Linked DNA regions of Pelodiscus sinensis. The protein of the gene in region 1 binds, or shares a complex with, the protein of each later gene. Links are inferred from orthologs where the notes say so. Each region holds a gene or a part of one and is shown on either strand. Other genes may lie near its edges.

Region 1 (3,745 bases):
CAGCCCATACATTTGTTGAAGAAATAAACAATTGAAGAAATATACAAAACTGAGTAAATTTGATTTTTGAACATTTAAAGCATCTGTTTTCTCAGTATTAAAGAGGGCATGGCCCTTCATATTTTCTGAAGTGTTACCCCAAGTATTCAGAAAGTCAGGCCCAAAAGCCTCTATGGATGCTTTCCCTGAAATTCTGCCTACACTAGTTGCTTGAGTTAATGACCTTGAACATCTTATTCACAGGAAGAAATCTTCTGAAGCTCCTTACAGTTTGTTCTAGAAATTGCTAACCCGTCGTCATGCAGGAGGAGTTCAACAGGAATTTCTCTAGGCTTTACTTGTGCTTTAAACTATCTGAGTTCATTTTATTTTTGCTTTAATCTAATTAACAGAAATCATAGAACCATGTAGGAAGTGCTGTAGAGCCTCCTGTTCCTCTGCTGTATAACATATTGGATTAATCCTGAAATTATATCAAGATTTTGTGTATTTTGACTATTTCATTGTAGGATGGTGTTCTGTTTCATTGTCCTTAGATTTTGCAATTACAGGCCTTAGTGCCACTTGTGATTTCATAACCACCTTTGCCAGGTATGGACTTGCTCTTCCTTTTATGGGACAAAAGGGAGAATAGATTGTTCACCATGAAATTTAAAATCGGATGGGTTTAGCTGCTACAGTGAATGCTGATCCTGTTCTGTTCTTTCAAATTCTGTCTTCCTTGGAACAATCCCCTTGGTACATATCTACAAAAGGTAGTTGCCACAACTCCACTCAATTATAAATGATGAATTTCCTGACCTGTGTATCTAACTCCTCAACATGTCACATGATCCATTGCCATAGTGTCAGTAAGTGAAAGAAAGGAACTTGCACGGGGCTAGTGCAGGCATTGAAATACCGTTGTAAGGGCAGCGCGTGTGTAATACTCAGTGGTTACACCTGAAACTCTGCCCCCCCGCCCCCGCCTGCGCAGAGACGTGGTAGGATCCGCCTGCAGCCCCCTCACTGCCGGAGCCCCCCGGCCCCATCGGTCAGGCAGGAGGAGGCTGAGGCAAGAGGCGTGGCCAGCCGCCTCCCAGACACGTATCCCGCATGTAGCAGCTGCCGCGGCGCCCCTCCCTCCGCCTGCTCCTAAGCTCCGCCCCAGGGGCGGGGCTGCATCTCCCCTGGCCTGCTTGAGGCCCCCGGCTCCGAGGTGGCTGCGAGCGCGAGGTAGAAAGGGTGGCGTCGCGTGACGCATGCGCGATGAGCGCTCATTTGTCGCAATGGTCTCCTGCGGAAGGATACGGATCAGATGAGTGACAATTCTCAGTAGGGTTCTACGGCTCACTAATGAGAGAGTGCACCGAAAGGAGGCGAGAGCGCGAGTTAGTTCTAGAAACTCATCTGTCGCAACTGGGTTTGATAACGCCTAGGATTCGATCCCTTTTCCTACGCGGACTATTTTGTGTAAGGAAATAGATCCGGCAGGAGCCATACGCCTGACGGGGTGCTTCCTCCGCCGCTGCCGCCATTTCTGGAGCCGCCGCCTTAGCGAAGAGGGGGAGGTTGGGTCGCTGTGGTCCGGCCGCTGGGTCGCGTCGCCTGGATCTCTCCGCGCCCGGGGGAGCCCCGCCCGCCCGCCCGCGCGCCCCCGATGGCGACCTCTGTGGGGAACGTGGCTGACAGCACAGGTACCGGCCCGCGGGCCGCCCGCGGCGCTGTGGGTGCGGCCGGCGCTGGCGGCTCCGGGCCTGTCCGCGCGGGGTGCCGGCCGGCTGCGGCCGTGGGCTGGCTTGTGCCGCGAGCCGCCCGCGATGAGGCCGCGTCGGGCGCGGCGATGCGGTGCGGGGGGACGTGCCCGAGGCCGCTGGCCGGGCTCAGCCGCCGCCCCGGGGGCTCGCCGCGTCTCTCGCCCCCGCCCGGATGGGCGCCACTCGAGTTTCTTCCGCGCTGTCGCCAGCATCCATCGCCGCTTTGTGGCGGCCACAGCCAGACTGCGAATCGCGCCCAGTCCCGTTGTTTGCCTTTTCTGTTGTCAGCTTCCGCTCTCATCATCGCCTGTAAAGCGGCACCGAGCGCGTGTGGATGCGTGGGAGAGCCGTGATGTAGTTCGCACGTGTGTGAAAAGCGCTAAGAAATGTGCCTTACAAATACTACTTAGGAAATGTCTGGAACCATCTTCCGACCCCATCTCCTTAGTCCCAAATCAGTTTTTCAGATCCTTTTCTGTATTTTCAGGAGTATGCACTAAAGTGAACCTAATACTTTATATCATAAATTGATAGTTTAATGGGAAAATGCTTTTAAAAACTGCTGTTAAGATCAAATCTTTCACAAGAAAAGTAGCTTTATCTTATGTTTTCTATGCTGGTGAGCACTTCATAAAATAACTTCTTGCCACAGGAGGCAATTAAATTATTGTATTTCATCAAGGTATTAAAGTCTGGGATTCTTCAGAAAAATTTCAAATTAGTGTACTTATACTGAACAATATAAATAATTGTTAGAGTTCTTTATGTGCATGAGGGAGATTCTTCCTACAATCTACTATCATTCATTCACTTTCAAAACTAGTTTGACTTGCAGTGGACTCTAGGGAAGGGATTAATTGCAAGAGTACACATTTGTTGAATAAATTGGAATCTATATATATCCATATAAAAGAATAGAGCTCTGATCTAGCTGGCCACCCCAAATCCTCCCAATACTTGCATATAGGACCAGATCCAAAATTTTACCGTTGTTAGTTGACACTAGTGTGCCTGAATTTAATTGGTGGGGAGAAATTGCACATTTTTTGAAAGTTTTGACAAAATGAAGGAAATCTGAGTTTGGATTTTTCTAGCAAGCTGAGGACAGTTGAAACAATCTCCCAAATTTGGAACAGAAGTAAAACATCTCTCATCAACTTCCTTATATCTGTCACCCTCAAAGTCTCTAGCCTTAAGTGCAGTTTTAAGCTTGGAACTTGGATATTTGCTTTTTTGGCAAATTGGGGAGAGGAGAGGTTAGAAATTTGTATTGAAGTATCAAAGCAAACAAGTAAATCAGGTTATTTTGTTTCGCAGTTGTGTATGCCATTTCAGTTTTTCAATCTTGTTTTAAGGGTGAGTAATAGTACGTAGAAATTGATTTCCTCCTTTTAGCTTTTTTTATCTTTATTTCTGGCAATAGAAGAACACTTCAACAGCATAGATTTGGAACAAAAATCAGACACCAGCTATTTGAAAGACTAAAACTTAATCAGAGGTAGCACTAATGGAAACTGGGTACCCAACAGTATGGTCTATAGGTAGTCTTTCGAAGCCCTCCACTAGATCAAGATCCTGGAAATATAGGCAGTCCCTGGGTTACGTACAAGATAGGGACTGTAGGTTTGTACTTAAGTTGAATTTGTACTTAAGTCGGAACTGGTGTCCAGATTCAGCCGCTGCTGAAACTGACCAGCTGCCCACTACAGGAAGCCCGAGGCAGAGTTTCTCTGCCCAGGGCTTCCTGGAATCAGCCGCTGATCAGTTTCAATAGCAGCTGAATCTGGACGCCTGGGACAGAGCAGCTGGGGTGCTGCTGTGTAGGTCCCTGCAGCGCCGCACCTCGGTGCTGCGGGGAGCAACCCGGCAGCACCCCACCTGCTCTACCCCAGGTGTCCCCAAGTCAGCCGCTGCTGAAACTGATCAGCGGCTGATTCCAGGAAGCCCGGGGCAGAGAAACTCTGCCTCGGGCTTCCTGTAGTTGGCTGCTGGTCAGTTTCAGCAGCGGC
Region 2 (3,745 bases), on another chromosome or scaffold:
CCCTAAGCAGAGTAAGAGGCTGCTGGGGGACCTATGCAAACACTGAACGCAGGGTGGTGGGTGAAGCTTCTGCTGGGGAGGTGACCTTCCTACCCTCATCTTCTCCCTGTGCCCAACACACATTCGACCCCTTCTCCCCTCCAGGCCACGCCCTCACCCCACTGTCTTCTTCTCTTCCCTCCCACTCCCTGTTCATCCTCTTCCACCCAAATCCCTGAGCCCAAATGAAACAAATGATATCACCCCCCCCCACTCTTCTGCATTGTCTTTCTGAAGAAAATGGAGCGTGTTTTCCATTGCATGCCAGGTGGTGAAGACTGGGCAAGCAGACGGTACCTTACTGAAAGCACTAAACTTGTGAATAAAAAATGTCAGTTACATGTGTTTTGATATACCCTGAGGTTTGTCAGAGGTTTATTTGCAAAAAGTTTGTAGTAAAGGGATTAGTCAGCTGTCCTGCTGAATACAACATGAAATATATTATGGAATACATCATAGATTCCCAAACTGGGGGGCATGCCCCCCCTTGGGGTGTGTGAAGAGATTCCAGGGGGGCGCAAGGCAACCCAGCCCCCCCCGTCAACCTCCCCCCGCCCCTCCCCCAAGAAAGAGCCTGGTCAGTCTGGTAAAAAAAATTCAGAAAATACCATGTGAAATGTCCAGTATTTTCTATTTTTCCTGGCTTGGGTGTCCACTGGAACACACACCTGGAGTATTGGTACCTTTGTTTTTACACAGGTCCTGGGAATCAAAGGGGCCACGACTGTTTTTTGGGCCTGGTCAGTTCCTTTCTTTTTTTTTTGCTCAACAAGTTTTGGGGGGGCAGGTGTGAGGGTTTCTCAAAAATCAAAAAGGGGGTGTGATTCTGAAAAGTTTGGGAACCCCTGGAATACATGATAGAGCTCTTCAGGGTTGTACATTTTCTTAACCAGTGTTTCTAAGCCGATTTATAATTAAAATACACTCTTAACCCTTCATCAAGTAACCATTCCAGAGTGCTACATACAAGAGACCCTCCTGGATGGGATCCCTTCATGGAAGCGCTGTTTGCAGTTGCATGTATTTGTGGGTCTCTCCTATCCCCTGCATTGCACCACATCCCCCGGCTTGGGGGGGGTCGATGCAGCCTCGGTGGGAGCAGGGATCGGGATTCTGCCCCGCACTCACCCTGGCATCGGGGAGGCCCTACCCCAGTATTTGCCTATTTCGCCATCGGCGGTGGTGCCAGGAACACCAGGGTTTCCGGAATTTAACTCACTGAAACCAAGATACTAGTTTAAGTGACTGGGGCTCTGTGCACCCGGAGTTTCATGCACCAGTGTGATCAGGGCACCAGGGCTGGGAGAGAGCTCGGCTCACACGGGGGCACCGGGGCTGGGAGAGAGCTCGGCTCACACGGGGGGGGGGGGCACCAGGGCTGGCCAGCAGGCCCCGTGGCTGCGCTGCGACAAGCCTCCCCCATTCAGCCTTCCTGGCCCAGCTCCGCTCCGCGCGGGGCCGATCCGCTCTCCGGCATGTGTCAGCGCCGCGCGCTCCGCTCCGAGGTCCGGGCTCCGGGGTTTGCGGGAGCGGCGCCTGCGCAGTGCGCGGGGCCGGGCGGGCGGCTGAGGCCTGGTGGAACGGCGAGAGCCTGAGGCGCGGAGCCGGCCCCGGGTGAGCGGAGCGGAGCCCCCCCCCGAACCCTCCCCCAGCGCCCTGCCCCCCCAGGACCCCCCCGGACCTTGCTCCCCCCCCTTGCGGCGCGCCTGGGCGGGGGGCGGGGCAGGGGGTTTGGGGGGCAGGACGGGATTTGGGGGGAGGGGAGCGGGGGGTTTGGAGGGGCAGGGGGGATGGGAGCGGGGGGTTTGGGGGGGCAGGATGGGATTTGGGGGGATGGGAGCGGGGGGCAGGGCAGGGGGCTTGGGGGGGCAGGGTGGGATTTGGGGGGATGGGAGCGGGGGGTTTCGGGGGGCAGGGTGGGGGCAAGGGGTTTGGGGGGGCAGGGTGGGATTTGGGGGGAGGGGAGCGGGGGGTTTGGGGGGGCAGGGTGGGATTTGGGGGGATGGGAGCGGGGGGCAGGGCAGGGGGCTTGGGGGGGCAGGGTGGTGGTGGTGCCAGTTCGTAGCAGGAGGGCCCTGACTGGGGGCATTCTGGGGCTGGAGCAGTTTGCACACACGCTAAGGGGCCCCAGGCTGTCTGGCGAGGTGGGGGTCTGTCCTGTTTTGTGCTTTATTGGGGCTGGGTCAATACAGCAGGGCCCTTTTCCTGCAGCATGTTCACCCTCCCTCTCCTGTCCTGTCCCAGTGCAAGGAGGCCAGGATGAGGAGCCGGAAGAGGCATTTACGTTGGCGCTAGATGCTGGGACGACCCAGAAGACATGACCTACCGAGGCACTGAGCGGGACTTCCAGACTTCAGCCAGGAGGATGGGAACCTCGTTGCTCTTCCAGCTCTCTGTCCATGAGAGAGAGCTAGACCTCGTCTTCTTGGACCATAGCTATGCCAAGCCATGGAGTGCCCACCCTGACGCCAGCAGTGCCCGGCCTGCACGGATGCTTTTCGTCACCCCCAGGAGGCACCAAGACAGCAGCATGTGAGCAAAGCCCTTTCTAGTGCTTCTGAGTTAATTTGCTTTGGATTCACACATATTTTGGATACTCCTTTCCTATGCTCTGATGGCTTTCTTGCTTTCTGTATCTGCTTTCAAGGTGCTTTTCAACACAGTAGGTAACATATTAAAACCCCAGCATAAGAACATAGAATGGCAAGACTGGGTCAGGCCAAAGGTCCTTCTAGCCCAGACAGTGGCCAATGCCAGGTGTCCCAGAGGGAAAGAACAGAGCAGGGAATGATCAAGCTTCTGACACACACTGGCAGAGGACACCATTCCTACCCGTCCTGGCTAATAGCCATCGATGGACCTGTCCTCCACGAATTTATCCAGCTCTTTTTTGAACCCTGTTAAAGTCCTAGCTTTCACAACAGCCTCTGGCAAGGAATTCCACTGGTTTTGTGTTGTATGAAGAAATGTTTCCTTTATTTTAAACTTGCTGCCTATTCATTTCATTGGGTAACCCTGAGTTCTTCTGTTATGAGGAGTAAATAACACTTTCTTCTCTATACCAGTCATGATTTTATAGATCTCTACCATATCTCTCGGTAGTAGTCTCTTTTCCCAAACTGAAGAGACGCAGTCTTCTCTTTGCTCGTGTGGAAGCTGTTCCATACCCCAGTCATTTTTGTTGCTTTTTTTGTACCTTGTCCAATGTCAATATATCTGTTTCAAGATGGGGTGACCACATCTGCATGTCGCTTACCATGAACTTATATAGAGGCATTATGATATTTTCTGTCTTATCTGTCCCTTTCTTGATGATTCCCAACATTCTATTCACTTTTTTGGCTGCTGCTGCACACTGAAGGGATGTTTTCAAAGACGTATGCACAATGACTCCAAGTTCTCTTGAATGATACCAGTTAATTTAGACTCCATTTATGTGCCAAGTTGAGTTTTCCAATATGCATTACTTTACATTTGTCAACATTGAATTTCATCTGTCAGTTCTCTAAACAGGACAATTTGTACCTGACCATGTAAGCTGTAGAAGTTCTCCCCTAGAGGGCAACCTGCTTTGTCTAGAATCAATTTTTAAAGCATTAACACACACTAATTGAGCTGGGTTTGAAGTTTTCAGTTAAATGTCAGATATACTGATATTTCTAAATTGAAACTGTTGCTGTTAGACTTTCCCCTTTTGAAAAAAAAA
Region 3 (3,745 bases), on another chromosome or scaffold:
GAAGCAGCATAGCAGCTAAACTTGCTCTATGATGGTCCATCTAGCCAGCATCCTGTCTTCTGACAGTGGACAGTGTTCATTCCAGAGGGAATAAACTGGTCACCCATTCCTAGCTTCTGACAAACAGAAACTAGGGACACCACCCCTGCTCGTCTTGGCTAATAGCCATGGACCTAACCTCCACTTTTTTTTTCTTTTTTTTTTTGGCCTTCACAGCATCCTCAGGCAAGGAGTTCCACAGGCTGACTGTGTTATGTGAAGTGCTTCCTTTGGCTTGTGTTAAACCTGCTACCGGTTTGTCCTTCCAGCCCTGAGTTTAGGCTAGGCAGATCACTGTGGGCAGCAGCAGAATTGAGGCCTAGAGACAGACAGATGCACCCAGAGCCAGGAACTGGATCTGACTTGGCCAAGTCCAGCCTCATTTTCTCTTCCTCTTCAAGAATTACTGTGGCTGTGTCTAGACTGGCCAGTTTTTCTGGAAAATCAGCCGCTTTTCCGGAAAACCTTGCTAGCTGTCTACACTGGCTGCTTGAATTTCCGCAAAAGCACTGACTTCCTACTGTAAGAAATCAGTGCTTCTTGTGGAAATACTATTCTGCTCCCGTTCAGGCAAAAGTCCCTTTTGCTCAAAGCTTTTGCACAAAAAGCTCACACAGCTCAGATTTGTTTTCCGCAAAAAAGCCCCGATCGCGAAAATGGCGATAGGGGCTTTTTTGCGGAAAAGCGTGTCTAGATTGGCACGGACGCTTTTCCGCAAAAAGGGCTTTTGCGGAAAAGCGTCCGTGCCAATCTAGATGCTCTGTTCCGAAAATGCTTTAACGGAAAACTTTTCCGTTAAAAGCATTTCCGGAAAATCATGCCGCTCTAGACGCAGCCTGTGTGTTTAGTGAATGAAAGAGCTCTGGATGCCCAGCTTGGGGACACCACATGCCCCAGGCAGGGGGGGCTGGGCTGTTTCATCACCAGTTTGCCTATGGGTGCTTTTGGGGAGGGGTAATGCCGCAGGATTCCTCTGCTTCAAAATGCACCCCAACCTATAGCCCCATCCCTTCCCCCGCCAGCCCAGCCTCTCCACCTCCATAGCCATCCCCTCCCCACTCCTGACCTGCCCAGCTCTGCCTCCCTCTTCCTTCCCCTCCATAGCCATACCCTCCTGATCAGCCCAGCCCCATCTTCTGCCCTTTGCTTCCTGCCCTACTTCCCCACCACCATCCCCTCCCCTTCCTGCCCCCCCAGCCCAGCCTCTCCTGCCCCGCCCTCCCAACAGTAGTCCTACCCCATGGTCCATACCCCCTCCTCTCTCTCCCCCTGCATTACCCACACCCTCCAGCCCTTCCCCCACTCCTCCCCCTCCCCTCCCCTCCCCTCCCCTCCAGCCCTTCCCCCACTCCTCAGAAGCCTGCTCTCCCCGCCCCCCCTCCCGTCCCTGCAGGGGGCTGGCCTCGGCTCCCGGACTGATGGGTCTCTCCTCCAATGGCCGCGACGGGGCGGCCTCCTTCCCGTTCCTGGATTGGTGGCGAGTCTGGCCAATGGTGCGGCGGGGGCGGGCGCCAGTCGGTCTAGGCGCGGGCGAGGTAAGATGGCGGCGGTGTTTCCTTGCTAGGCCGATGGCGCGGCCCCCCCCCCAGGCAAAATGGCGGCGCTGAGGGGGGAACCTGCGGGGAGTTAGGGGGACCAGCCCGTAGGAGGCAGGGGGCAGAGCCTGGGGGCGGCCTGTGTTCGGGACCGCCTGTGGGGGTGGGGGGAGTCAGAAGCAGCTGGGGGTCAGCCTGTGGGGGGGGAGGGGAGAGCGGCTTGGGGGTCAGCCTGTGGGGGGGGGAGGGGAGAGCGGCTTGGGGGTCAGCCTGTGGGGGGGGAGGGGAGAGCCGCTTGGGGGTCAGCCTGTGGGGGGAGGGGAGAGCGGCTTGGGGGTCAGCTTGTGGGGGGGAGGGGAGGGGAGAGCGGCTTGGGGGTCAGCCTGTGGGGGGGGGAGGGGAGGGGAGAGCGGCTTGGGGGTCAGCCTGTGGGGGAAGCCCATGAGGGGGGCTGGGGAAAGTTGGGGGGGAACCATCCTGTGAGGTCTGCGGTCCAGGGAAGCAGCTGGGGGGGGGGGTCTGCCTCCCCCAGGGCATGTTTCAGATTCACATTCCCAAGTGGGGTTGGAAGCTCTTCAGGGCAGGGACACAGCACAGAGCCCGTGACTCTGGCTGGGGCCTCCCCTTCCTTTCCCGACACCTGTCAGGGCCTTAGGGTGGGGGTGGGATTGTGGCCCCTGAGCCCACGGCAGAATGTGGTGGGTGAGTCTTGGCAAAGGGGTGTCCTAGTTCTCTGTGGCAGGGGTGGGATGCAGGTGACTCTCACCCTGGAAGGGGCTATCTGGAGAACAGACCCTCCCCTTCCATGTTTTTCCTCCTTGCTGAGGAGACAGTCATGGCACAAAAAATGTGCCTGGGTCTGAATGGCAAAGAGTCTGAGTTGGGCCTCTCCCCATCCTCTTCTGTTTTGGGACCTCCACTGCCAGACAGCACAATGTGAATGCAGGGGACGGAAGTGGCAAAGTGACCAGAGATGCCATGAAGCTCCCACCTCCCAATGAAGAGCAGAATAAACCAAGACTGTAGGAAGGATTCCCTCGTCCTATTCTGTCTTGTAGTACTGAGGTGTCTTATTTTGTGCCAGGACACTGTCTGTATAGCACAGGGATTTATACCAACACTTTGACAAATTATTTGGTCCCTTTGATGATGATAACAGAGGCTGATCAGTTGTACTAGCTTGTGGGGTTTGCTCTAGATATAACAATTATCTGTACGTGTCTGTTGCATGTGTAGGCATGAACAGAATCCGGATCCACGTCTTGCCATCAAGTCGGGGGCGTGTTACCCCTGTGCCAAGGCCCCAGGAACCCTTGCCTTGTGCCTTCACACACCGTCAGTGTTCCCAGCCTCGGCTGGAAGGGCAAGAATTCTGCATTAAGCACATCCTAGAAGACCGGAATGCTCCCTTCAAACAGTGCAGCTATGTCTCAACTAAGAATGGGAAGAGGTGTCCAAATGCTGCTCCCAAAACTGAGAAGAAGGACGGGTAGGTGCTGGTAGAATTAAAGTGGCTTGGCAGGAATATCTTGTCATGCGAAGTATCAATCCCATGGCTAAGGCACAATACAAGGAGCCAGGAGTTTTAGTTTTAGTCCTAGTTAGGCTGCTTTCTCATTGTGGGACCTTGAACAAGTCAGTCTGTCTTTAGCCATCTGCAAAGTGGGAGTAATTATCTGATAGAGGAATTAAAAGTTCATTAATGCTTATAAAGTGCTTTGAGATCCTTGGGTGAAAGGGGCTGGAGAATTGTGTAATGTTTGTTTCCTGGTGCTGGCATCACTGCAGATTTTTATCTTCAACAGTCATAGTGTCAGTTTGGAAATAAGTACGCCCTCTGAGATCACAAATATTTGAATCCCCGGAATTTTGAGTGGAGTCCTTGTGAGGTAAAGATGTTCAGCCCTATGCACGTGGGTCATTAAAAATCCTAGTATCAGTTTTTTGTAAGAGGGAGGGCTTGACCTCGTCCCCTCATCTTACTGCTAGGCCATGTGGCTGCCACCTTCATGGCAGAGGTAACTGCATTTCAGTGGTTGTGCGTGTGGTTTGTCAATCATATATTCTTTAATATATTAGGAACTATACAAATGACTGTCAGAGTTGCTTGAATTTATCATTGTGTTGGAGGAAAGAAGTGGAGATGACTCCTTTTCTAAGCCAAGTGCCAG

The links.
Region 2: OGT (region 1) and KANSL3 share a complex: the UniProt entries of both Homo sapiens proteins name them as parts of the NSL complex. The link is inferred for Pelodiscus sinensis from reciprocal best matches to the Homo sapiens genes OGT and KANSL3.
Region 3: OGT (region 1) and KANSL2 share a complex: the UniProt entries of both Homo sapiens proteins name them as parts of the NSL complex. The link is inferred for Pelodiscus sinensis from reciprocal best matches to the Homo sapiens genes OGT and KANSL2.

Annotation. Positions count from the first base shown.
Region 1 is NW_027466001.1:365,112-368,856, reverse strand, and holds the start of OGT (UDP-N-acetylglucosamine--peptide N-acetylglucosaminyltransferase 110 kDa subunit), read left to right. Parts: upstream 1-1,530; 5' UTR 1,531-1,639; coding exon 1,640-1,676; intron 1,677-3,745. UniProt on the Homo sapiens protein: Catalyzes the transfer of a single N-acetylglucosamine from UDP-GlcNAc to a serine or threonine residue in cytoplasmic and nuclear proteins resulting in their modification with a beta-linked N-acetylglucosamine (O-GlcNAc).
Region 2 is NC_134738.1:5,848,136-5,851,880, forward strand, and holds the start of KANSL3 (KAT8 regulatory NSL complex subunit 3), read left to right. Parts: upstream 1-1,511; 5' UTR 1,512-1,653; intron 1,654-2,283; 5' UTR 2,284-2,356; coding exon 2,357-2,571; intron 2,572-3,745. UniProt on the Homo sapiens protein: Non-catalytic component of the NSL histone acetyltransferase complex, a multiprotein complex that mediates histone H4 acetylation at 'Lys-5'- and 'Lys-8' (H4K5ac and H4K8ac) at transcription start sites and promotes transcription initiation.
Region 3 is NC_134729.1:5,185,697-5,189,441, forward strand, and holds the start of KANSL2 (KAT8 regulatory NSL complex subunit 2), read left to right. Parts: upstream 1-1,442; 5' UTR 1,443-1,574; intron 1,575-2,810; 5' UTR 2,811-2,812; coding exon 2,813-3,063; intron 3,064-3,745. UniProt on the Homo sapiens protein: Non-catalytic component of the NSL histone acetyltransferase complex, a multiprotein complex that mediates histone H4 acetylation at 'Lys-5'- and 'Lys-8' (H4K5ac and H4K8ac) at transcription start sites and promotes transcription initiation.